2 linked regions of the Arabidopsis thaliana genome follow. The protein of the gene in region 1 purifies or fractionates together with the protein of each later gene. This does not show direct contact. Each region holds a gene or a part of one and is shown on either strand. Other genes may lie near its edges.

Region 1 (5,537 bases):
AGGTCGGTTCGTTTTTTCAATTGGACGTATACTCCTTTTTCAATTACGAACTTTAAAAATCGTGTAAGTTTACAAGTTCAAACTATATCTAAATAAATGTTTAAGATTATCCAATGCTTAATATTGATATAAATTATTTAGATAAATACTACAGACAAAATAATAAATAGTTGAATATATCCTCTTATGGTTTTTCCATTTGATCACCAATTTTGTAAAGGAGCTCTAAAAATTTGAGACGATATTGAGGAAAACTAGAGCTATATGAGAATATTCTCTTCCAAGTAGTCTCCAAACAGAATACATGCTTTTGTTAAGTACCTTACCTATAAGAGCAGTCTTGCTTAGTTTTTTAGTTCTTGCGCAAGCATGCATGCTATCTGAAGTCTAAAGTCAGTTTTTGTTGTATTCCTTCTCTGTAAAAGTGTAAAGTCATGTGAAATATAAATTTACATCTAAACAAAAGAAATATAGGTCAACTAAGCAAATACAAGTTCTTATTTCCTTTTTTCTGTCGCTCATCTGATAGCACCTCCATTACTTAAAATGCTCTCAAATAACAATATTTCAAATAGAATTTAGTCTTCAAATCAGTTCTTGACACTGCCCCGTTATATGCACAAATATCCTTTACTGTATTTTCTTGTTACAAAATGTAAGAATGTTATCTGCTGCATGTTCATGCAAAAATCTTTTGGTGTAATAAAGTAACATTTAGGTGCAAAAATTTTCTTTATTACAAAATCTTAATGTAACGGACAATCACAAGGCAGTCTAACATAATACAAATATGCAACGAACAATCACACGGCACTCTCTAACATAATACACAAATAGCAAATGCTTAGTATGTGTGATGGTTTGTGGATTATTTGGTCGTATTGTTGGCCGCTGATGGAATCTTAGGCTTTTTGTAGCACCTCCTTTGCTTTTAGAGTCAATTGTTTGTTCCAATGCGTTACAATTCTGATCACCAAATTTCTAAATAATGTCTAAGAAATTGAAATAAGTAGAGATCAAGAGCCTACATATATGAATATCCATTGCACGTTAATCATTACTTTCTTCCAAGTAGTCTACAAAAAAAAATTACAGTTAAAATATAAAAATAAAATTACACATCTCAAATGGAAAAAGAAAAAAAGATGGAAGGCCGAAATTAACAACAAAGCATAATAATCATCACATTCATTCTTTCTCTTAATATCTAATTTCTTGAGCAACCTCAAAGAAGTGTGCTACATTCTCTTCAGGGGTTCCAACTTTAATACCATGCCCCAAGTTGAGAATGTGTTTATCTCTCCCAGCTTTCTTCACAGTATCATGAATCCGGCTTGTGATAAATTCTTTCGATCCAAATAGAACTCCCGGATCAACGTTTCCTTGAACTGCTATGTCTCTTCCTAGCCGGTCTCTTCCTTCAGCCATGTCCACAGTCCAGTCCAAGCTCACAACATCCACACCGGTCCGAGCCAGTCTCTCTAGCAAACCTCCTGATCCACTAGCATAAAGTATGAGAGGTAGGTTTGGGTGAGTTTGTTTCACAGCTTCCACAATCTGTTTGAGATAAGGTAAGCTAAACTCCTCAAAATCCACCGGGCTAAGCTCGGTTGCCCAAGAGTCGAATATTTGCACAGCTTGAGCTCCGCTATCTGCTTGATAGCGTATGTACGTTATCATCGAGGTTGTGAACTTCTGGAGTAAGGCATGTAGAACCTGAGAAGAAAGAAAATCTGTTCAATCTCTGAGATATTAACCAAATTGTCAAGTTGTACAATTGCTTTAAGCTTTTACTAATCCACCTTGGGTTGAGAAAAAGCTAATCTTTTTATCTGTGTGAAGTTCTTAGATGAGCCACCTTCGATTACATACGAAGAAAGTGTAAATGGAGCTCCAACAAATCCCAGAACAGCGGCTTCATTGTTCACCTGAAATAAAACATATTCTTCAGCTTAAGAGCATTTGTTATTTTTTGTTTTTTGGATAAAGAGATTAAGAGCATTTGTTGCTTCGATCATCACACTATCTTTAGTACCTCATTTCTTAATCTTCTGAGTGCTTCTCCAACATAAGGAACAGATTCCTCTGGTACGAATTCTCTAACTTGAGCAACGTCGGCAGCTGATTGAGGCGGGTTAAAGATGATAGGACCTTTTCCTTTAACAATGTCGAAAGGTATGTTCATTCCAGACAATGGAGTGAGAATGTCTGAGAACAGAATCACCTTTTCATACATTTTGAAACACAGACATGTCAACTTAAGAGATCATAAAAAGAAAAACTCCAAAACTAAATGGACATAGAGAAGAAAGAACTCACCCCATCTGGCTTAAACACCTTCCATGGCTGCAAAGAAATTTCCACCACAAGATCTGCATTCTCTGATCTATCTCTGAAAGAAGGATACTTCTCACAGAGAGTTTGATAACTCTGTTCATCACATTAATAAACACTCAGGTCACACGAATTCGAAAGAAATAGGAACAAGCAAAATGTGAGTTAGTAAACAAAATAAATGGAAGCAAGCTTGCCTTCATGTACCTCCCAGCTTGCCTCATAAGCCAAACCGGAGGTCTATCAACAACTTCACCTTTAACAGCTCTCAGAAGAAGTGGCTCGCTGGTTGCCGAGACTTTTCTCTCGGTTACAGTAGTTCCTAAACAAAGAATTTGAATCCCATTAAGCATAAAGATTAAGACTCGTAAGCTTTTGCACATTCCATGATCAAACTCAATTCAGGGAAAACAAATGAAACCCCATAGAAACGTTCCAATTCTAGAATTAAGCAATATACGTTACTTCGAAGAAGCACGAGAAGATCATATAGCTTCTGCAGAACAAACTCGAAAAATCCTAAATTTCTACCAGAGAGATTATTGGTACAAGAGAAACTGAAAGTTTCTTCATATTACCATTGTACCCATCTATTAAATCCATAACAGATTAACCAAAACAATCAATTCAAGTACTACACGAAACACCCAATTCGTTTCCTATTTGCCAAAAAGAGAGAAACTTTGTGGAAAATTCACAACTTTATAACTACCCAGATATTAACTCACCAAAAACTTCATCAAAATGAATCAAAATTGAGAGTTAGAAATAAGTACCCTCGACGGAACATCGAACTATCCGGCATGACTTGGTAGATGAGAGAGATTTTCTGGGAGATATGGAGAGAAGAGTAGAAGAAGAAAGAGACGAAGTAGAGACTTGAAGGATTGACATTTTTCAGATCCCCGAGACAATCTCAAAGGCTTCTTCAACGAGGTCAAGGTGTTGTTATACTCTGTTTTGAGATCTTAGCATCTTCTCTCTTTCAACGAGATGGGGTTAACGTCTTCGAACGAAGAAGATAGAAAAAACTTTGATGATAAGAGATCTGCTGACGTGGATTCAACGTTGCCTAGTCAGCTACTATCTCTGCCACGTCATTGTTTGGTTTATTCTAATCATCTTGGTTCAATTTGGTTCGGTTTCATTGCTAAGATACAGCTTTTATCCAGTAATCACATTTCTGCAGTTTTCATTGTTGTTTTACAATCACTATCAAATTTGTTGTTTACTCATTAGATTCAAAGCATTATGTTTTATTTAAAGACTAAGATTGTATATTTATTTTTTGGAAAATCAACAAATATAAAAGACCGGAAAAGCAATCAACACCATATCAAACCAAAATGAAAACCAATTACAAACACATTAATAAGGACTAAAAATAGAAATAGTGGGAGGTGTTTGTTTTTAAAGGCTGGATTTTTTCTTGCTCTGCTTCTGCAGTGGAAGTGTAATGTGTATGAACCCAAACTTTCTCCTCTGCGTGACGTACTGTTTCTCTTCATGTACCTCCTCTTTCTCTCCCCGTGCCGAAAACTTCACATCCTGCTTTAGTTCCTTCAACATTTGGCTCAAATTCACATTTCGCCTCGGTATTTGCCCTTCAAGGCTCTGTCTTTGGGGAGCAACAACATCTTCCTTTGGAACTTGCTTACGCCTTAGAACATCACGCATTGAGATATTAGACTTTAACACTGGCTTTGGGAGAATGTCAAGTGGCTCGTGATGCTTGTTCAAATGGCTGAAAAAGGAGCGTCGGGTATGATTCAAAGGTGTAAAGTTATCGCCTTTCAATGAGTCTTTTGTCCACCCGCGGAAAGCATTTTCAGCTGCAAGTTGCTTCACATTAGCGATCTCTACTCGGTTTAACGCAGCTTCTAAAGCCTGCTTACTTTGTTTAACTCCTTCAGTAGCTTCCTCAAGCTTCTTCAAAATCCCTCGTCTTGAACTCTTATCCGTGGAGAAGTCATTATCAATCCTGAGTCCTCTTGGTGTCACAGGAGATCTTGGAGGCTCTGGAAAGCAAAATTCCGAATCATCGTCCTGGCTTTCACCATTGGATGATAACATTGTAATTTCAGCAATCGCAAGTGCTTCCGCTGCTTTCGCAGCTTCTTCCATTTTCCTAGCAGCAACCAATCTCATCTCTGCAGTTCTCAGACTGTTCTTGTTCTGCAGGTTTAAACCCGTTTCATCGGCTTCAGCAACCATCTTAACCTGCTCCCTTAACGGTTCATCTTGAACCTGTGGTTTTACCTTAATCCGACTCAACTCCTCAGCTAGAGATACCGGTCCACCAAACCCATACGTTAGCTTAGCCCGTGTCTTCTCAAGGAAGTCTTTCTCTTCTTTCATTTTCTTATTCAGAGATTCAACAGAGGACTGGATCACTACAAGGTTGTCCATGGTTTTACCAAGATTCATCTTAGCTTGCTTCAATTCCATCAAGATCAAATCAGGAGATGACATGGGATTGTGATGGCAATGCTCATCGTTCATCTCTTTGATATCTGAACTGAGTTGGTCAGAGCATCTCAGTGCTTCTTGCTGAAGCTGCCGCTTCAAATCTTCAACGATCCTTTTGGTTGATCCAAGAGCTTCTAAAACATCCAAAGTTTCAAGCTCTTTCACAATCAGATCCTTCTCAAGCTCCGCTGCATGCTCCTCCATTCTCTTAATGTCAAATTCACCATTCTGAACGTTGACAAAAACCAAAAGAAAATGAAAATCATATCTCAACTCCTAATCCAACCTCACACAGTGACACAGATACTCCGAGATTCATTGTTACAAAATCAGTGTGTGCATTTTACACTCGACGATCAACACTTAATGGTGATGATGATCTCAGAGACAGAACAACAGCTTAAACGATCTTGATGCTTTCAACAACTTACATATATGTTGCTAAAACCTCGATTATGAAATTCTAGACTCGAGTTATATTCAATCTCAATATTGTAATGCTACTGAATTGCACAAAGGTCATGAACTCAATTTTACATACTTCCACAGAAGTCATGAGATTCGACTGTAAAGAACAATGGAAAATGGTCACCATCAAAGCATCAAATGTTAGTATGCAATGCATATTAATGTGTTTGTATATTACACTGATCTGACATTGAAGAAAAAACTGAGAAAGAACAAAACTTACGAAAGTGTCATCAAGCTTGAAAGGAACCCAATAACCACGACCA
Region 2 (5,873 bases), on another chromosome or scaffold:
TTTTTTTGGTTCTTTCTCTCCCTTCTCTGTGATGTACGAAGCACGTTAATGGCGGCTCCGCATTTCACACAACTCAAAATTACACTAAACCCTCTCATGTATCCCTTTCTCGTCTTATCTCTACTAACTCTCGCCCTCTTCTCATTCGTCTCCGCCATCTTCTTTCTCCTCAAAGCTTCCCGCAGCAGAGCTGCTTTGTACAGCCAGAAACTCTTATCCGAATCCGAAACCAAACTCCAACCAGAATCGTCTCTATCGGAGATTTCCGACGAAGCCCAGTACCAAACCCATGAAAATGAACCGACCCATTTGACGAATTCGCGACTCTATGAGTTACTGCTCTCCGATAAGAAGGAGGATGATTCGGATTGGGAAGGAGATCATGTGAAAAAGAAGAAGAAGAAGAAGAAGAATCGAGGTAAGAAGAAGAAATCAGACATAAGAGGAGATGAATCCGGCGGCGAAAAGCAGCTCGGTGAGGGAGAAGATGGGCTTGTTTTGAATCCGAGGACAGACTCGATTTCGATATCGGAAAACAAACCGGAGTTTGTTTGTTTATATCCTTTTACATCGACGAGCAGTGCTACGCAGAGGAAGATTAAGCAGCAATACGATCAGCTTGTTAAATGCAATAATGCCAAAGGATTGACACTAGCTCAGGTCACCTTCTTTACCTTCGGTTATTAACTATTTATGGAAATCAAAATTGGAAAACGTGAATTTGAAACATAAATCCAAGTCTATTAAGCCTGTGATTTCCTTAATTAGCATCCTAAAACCTCTATGTGGTTTATATACCTTTGTGGTGTTTGTTCAATAGCCTATACTAAACTCAGTTGATAAACTAAATGATTTTTGAGTTGGGAGGTTTCAATACTTAATCATCAGCTAAGCTTGCTTCCTTTTGATATATCAGAATGATTTACTTCAATCTAAACTTTGGATTACTATAAAATTCTGCCCAGTTGAGTTTTAGATTCTGATGTTTTCTGGGTTCTTCACTTCTGTAGGTTGGGGAGTTTGCTAATTGTTTGATAGAAGCCAAAAATGAACTACAACACAAGTAAGTTAACACTACCATAACATAATATCATATACTCTCATCCATTTTCTTAGTTCTTCCTACATTTTGAGGACACAGGAATTACAAATAGTTGCTTCCTGTTCTATGCTTTGTTATGTTGATGGTGTGACATGTTGCTTTACTGAGTTAGCCTTTTCTTCTCCGGTGACACTGATTTAAGCCTGATTGTGTCTACTGTAGGTCAGAAGTAATCAAGCGCAAGTTTTCAATAACAAAAGCCCTTCTCTTTAAGGCTGATAGATCTTCCTTTGACCGACTTCGTCAACAGGTGAATTTAGCTTCATCAATTGATTGTCTGATTTTTATCCGTTTGTTGCTTTTGAAGTTAATTGTTTGTGTGTCATCAGATCTATAAGCTGGAGATGGAACAAAAAAGAGTAGAAGAAGATGCACTTGTATATAATTGGCTCCAGCAACAGCTTAAACTCTCACCTGCATACAAAAAGGTTAAAAACCAAACTCAATCACTTGTTTCCAAAGATTGTGTCCTATGTGTCCAAAACCTCAAAAATCTGTTCAATGATGTTTCTGATTCTAGATTAATCTTACTGATTGTTGTTGCTGTCTGATAAACCAGTAGAGTCTTATCTCCTGTATTGGACTCTGTTAGCATAATTGGGACTTCCCTTGAGATTTTTGGTTATCTCTAGTTAAAGCCGTTAATACTCTTTATGATACTACTATAGGTTCTTGAAATAAGCGCTTCCATGGAACTCAAAGACAAATCGAGCACAGAGTTAGACAATCCAGATGATGAATTTTCAGACATTTCCTTCGAAGAGCTATTGGAACAGGAAAAGAAAGACTCGTTTTGGTCAGCATTTCTCTCCATCTCTCCTCAAGCTTATTAGTAAATCTAAATTACTTGCTCATATGAATCTTGCTCCATGTATAGGCCTTTTTGAGTATTTCCGCAATCTTTCTTCATATTGCTTATCCTCTATAACCATCTTACTCTCCACTCTTGTGTTGGTTTTCAGGCATAAAAATGGAAGATTGCGAACTTGCAGAACATGATTTGGTGATTGAAACTGCCGTGAGCTCAGCAGGAAAACTGAATCCTTTTTTGATGTTCTCCTATTTTTGGTGCTGTGTATAGAGAGTTTCCTCCATAGGGATGCGTTTTCTATATAACACATTACCCGGTTTTCAAATCGATTTTTTCAGTTCGGTTTGAATCAAACTGATTCGGTTTATCTGAATTGAGCAAAGTCCAAACGTGCATGAGTATCGTACATAGTGAGGCTTTTTTCGAGAAAAAACACTGTTGATAAAAATATACAAACACAAGCATCATGACTCATGGGGGATAAATGCACTTGAACCGACCGGTACAATTATATCTGCTTGTGAATTAGCTTTAAACCGAAGCATATGCAACGCGGCCAGTGGATTTTGTTCCTCAGTAAAAATCTGTCAGTTTCCGCCTCGAAATGTGAGAATTTCGGCCACAGTCTACTAAACAAACGCACTGGCCAGTGGCTATGCCTTTGGTTTCATTATCTTTTGCTTCATCTTCTTCAAAAGCCATGGCTTTGTGCTCTATCTGTCCTCGCATCCCTCTTCGATTCAGGCCAAAACCCATTTCCCCTTTTCTCTCAAAACCTCAAATTTGTCTCGCTTACAGGGTTTACTCTTCCCTGCAATCTACTACTCCCTCTACCAGAGGTAATTTCTTGCTTTGTATTATGCATACACTGGTTTTCCAGAACTATGAATTACGTTTAAATGGATTAAATTATGAAGTGTCGCTCTCTTTTTAGGACAAAACCCACAAGTTTCGAGAAAGATGATCGAATACTATAATCTCCTTATCTTTATCCTTTTTGGGGTAGTCTTATCTGAGGAATTGTGGTTCGTATGGCAGATGAACTTGGAACTGTTAGCATTGGGTTTCTGGGTATGGGAATCATGGGTTCTCCAATGGCACAGAACCTCATCAAAGCTGGGTAAAAAAGTTTTGATTTTTATGTGTAGACAATCTAATTCACATCAATTTTGCTACTTTACCTCTTTTTGATGTATTGATGATACTTACGTTGATCTTTCTGGGGCTTGGTTGTTAGGTGTGATGTGACTGTATGGAATCGAACTAAGAGCAAATGTGATCCTCTCGTTGGATTAGGAGCAAAGTAAGAGTTCCAATGCTTCTTATAAAGAATGATATTATTTACTCCGAGTGAGGTTTTAGAGCTAACGTAGAAGAAAAATTTAACGATTAAGAAAGTATCTCCCTTTGTTGCAGGTACAAGTCTTCTCCTGAAGAAGTGACTGCAACTTGTGATCTCACATTTGCAATGCTTGCTGATCCTGAAAGTGCAGTGCGTATGTCTCACTTTTGTTTGCGTCTCTTTTTCTTCTACTTTCACTCCATATTAAAACAAAAACTGTATTTTGCTTTCTGTCAGATTGATGTTGCATGTGGAAAGAATGGAGCCATATTTGGGATTAGTTCAGGAAAAGGGTACTTACTCCTTCATGAGACTTATGCTGGATATAACGTTCTATTGCTGAAATGTTTCAAGATATCTGTATTTCTTATGTAACTACAGAAGAGTTCACAGTCGTTCTTTTTTAATTTCTTCTTCGAATCTATATAGTAATGTGGTCGATACTTTCTGGTAAAAATGGGACTTGCCTTGCTACTGCAGGTATGTTGATGTCTCAACCGTTGATGTGGCCTCATCAATACTAATCAGCAAGCAAATAAAGGATACCGGAGCCTTGTTCTTGGAGGTAAAGGCTCTTAGTTAATCTATATCTAGAATCACTAAAAAACCTTGTAACAGATCTGGTGGCTTAAGTCATTTCTATTTTTGATATTCATAGGCACCAGTTTCAGGTTCCAAAAAGCCTGCCGAAGATGGGCAGTTAATATTTCTCACTGCAGGTTCGTAACAGCTTACTCCTCATTGAGCTTGTATTAATAATCGATCATCACTTTTGCATATCAGATTATTTTGTCTTCGCGGGTGACTTGCCTGTATTTTCTAACATGGTTGAATCATGAATGAAATGGAGATTTATGACTATCTGGCACTTGACATTTTAGGTGACAAGCCGCTATACGAAAAAGCTGCTCCTTTCTTAGACATCATGGGAAAGGTATCTCTTTTGCCTGTGTTTTGCTTTTAGTTCTTTTTTCTTCTGCAAATGAACCATTTTCGTTACTAGTTTGCATTATATGATCCAGTCAAAATTCTATTTGGGTGAAGTTGGTAATGGAGCAGCAATGAAACTTGTCGTCAACATGATCATGGGAAGGTATCATTTGACCATCTATCGCTTCATTTCTTGGCAAATTCCAGATTCTTCTTCTGATCTCTTTTTCTCTTTACCTATGCAGTATGATGGCATCATTCGCGGAGGGAATACTTCTAAGCCAGAAAGTTGGACTCGATCCAAATGTACTTGTCGAGGTAACTAAAACACCATTGTCCAGCAGAAAGTTTCTTACCAAATGTGCTATAAACCCCGGGAAATTTTTTTCTGCAGGTTGTCTCACAGGGAGCTATCAATGCGCCAATGTACTCACTAAAGGGTCCTTCAATGATCAAGTCAGTGTACCCGACGGCTTTTCCATTAAAGCATCAGCAGAAGGTTTGTGTAATTGTGTTACTTTCTTTTTTTAGATTCTCACAAAGACTCTGGAGTTTGATGAGACTGTAATTGACTTTTATCCGTCTATAGGATATGAGACTCGCACTTGGACTAGCGGAATCCGTATCGCAATCTACTCCGATTGCAGCCGCTGCGAACGAGCTTTACAAGGTTGCAAAATCTTATGGGTTGAGCGATGAAGATTTCTCTGCAGTAATTGAAGCACTAAAAGCTGCAAAATCCCGAGAAGCTTAGCTAAAGATTTGTTCAATGTGAAAATGTGTTTTTTTTTGCTGTTGTATGAAAAATTTCATCTTTACAACATGTCAATTGATAATTGTTAATTTTATATGAGAGCAAGTTAAAAGTGTCAAACACAAGTCAACCTTTGATCTCCTGATGTTGACAAAAGCAACAAAGAAAAGTGTTTGACCAACGTTGACTACAATAAATACGGCGCCGTTTCGGATATTCCGATGATAAGTTGATAACACCGAATCATTTGTTTCAAAAAATTCTTCAGTGCCTGAAGTGTTAAAATTCTCGCCTGAGCTCGTTGCCGTTTCCACTTCAACCATATTGGTTAGGGTTCTTTCTCTTCCAAGATAAGAAATTTTGAATGTTTGATGTCATAACTTTGAATCAAGTAATCGAAATTGGAGAAAAAAAATTCATTTTTTAAGTTTGGGTTTTCATCATAGACAGACGGAGAAATTAAAAGGTTTTGTTTTGACTCAGCTGCAGTGATCGATGGATTATAACTCAGATCGTGGTTATGATGACTCTTACCATCATCACGTACACGACGAACAATTACCACAATCGGATTTTGAAGTGGAGACCTTTGATGACCGGAGGAACGGTGGTGCAGCCGTTGATACTGGTGGGATTCAGATGAAGCATTCCGTTGACCATCGCCATTCTTCTTCGTCCATGTCTTCTCCTGGGTTCGTGGTTTCTTAGGCTTTATCTTTTTGTATGGATTTACTTTTGATATTAATCTCTTCTCAGCGGAGCTGGTTATTAAGATATTGATGGGGAGGTTTCTTGTGGTGCCTTTTGTCTTTGTTTATGTTAGGAAACTGTTCGTAGGTGGAGTTTCTTGGGAAACAACTGCAGGTATGGTTCATTTTCATCGTCTTAGTCATGTATGCCATTTATGTCTTGAATTGAGCTCGTTGTTGCTGCA

Evidence for each region.
Region 2: the proteins of HEME2 (region 1) and GLYR2 fractionate together in Arabidopsis thaliana (co-fractionation; one large-scale study listed by BioGRID). This does not show direct contact.

The regions. Positions count from the first base shown.
Region 1 is NC_003071.7:16,910,652-16,916,188, reverse strand, and holds HEME2 (Uroporphyrinogen decarboxylase), read right to left. Parts: upstream 3,385-5,537; 5' UTR 3,229-3,384; coding exon 3,111-3,228; intron 2,657-3,110; coding exon 2,532-2,656; intron 2,431-2,531; coding exon 2,320-2,430; intron 2,225-2,319; coding exon 2,036-2,224; intron 1,929-2,035; coding exon 1,803-1,928; intron 1,717-1,802; coding exon 1,201-1,716; 3' UTR 987-1,200; downstream 1-986. Other genes in the region: AT2G40480 (WEB family protein (DUF827)), read right to left, coding at 3,745-5,031, 5,495-5,537. UniProt on the Arabidopsis thaliana protein: Catalyzes the decarboxylation of four acetate groups of uroporphyrinogen-III to yield coproporphyrinogen-III.
Region 2 is NC_003070.9:6,068,660-6,074,532, reverse strand, and holds GLYR2 (glyoxylate reductase 2), read left to right. Parts: upstream 1-2,403; 5' UTR 2,404-2,568; coding exon 2,569-2,752; intron 2,753-2,847; exon of another isoform or gene 2,848-2,944; coding exon of another isoform or gene 2,945-2,951; coding exon 2,952-3,033; intron 3,034-3,150; coding exon 3,151-3,216; intron 3,217-3,329; coding exon 3,330-3,405; intron 3,406-3,492; coding exon 3,493-3,548; intron 3,549-3,735; coding exon 3,736-3,820; intron 3,821-3,913; coding exon 3,914-3,974; intron 3,975-4,136; coding exon 4,137-4,189; intron 4,190-4,277; coding exon 4,278-4,348; intron 4,349-4,430; coding exon 4,431-4,503; intron 4,504-4,579; coding exon 4,580-4,684; intron 4,685-4,774; coding exon 4,775-4,939; 3' UTR 4,940-5,109; downstream 5,110-5,873. Other genes in the region: AT1G17665 (CA-responsive protein), read left to right, coding at 49-660, 1,011-1,063, 1,265-1,352, 1,432-1,530, 1,771-1,898, 2,065-2,101; AT1G17640 (RNA-binding (RRM/RBD/RNP motifs) family protein), read left to right, coding at 5,435-5,631, 5,763-5,803. UniProt on the Arabidopsis thaliana protein: Catalyzes the NADPH-dependent reduction of glyoxylate to glycolate as well as succinic semialdehyde (SSA) to gamma-hydroxybutyrate in vitro.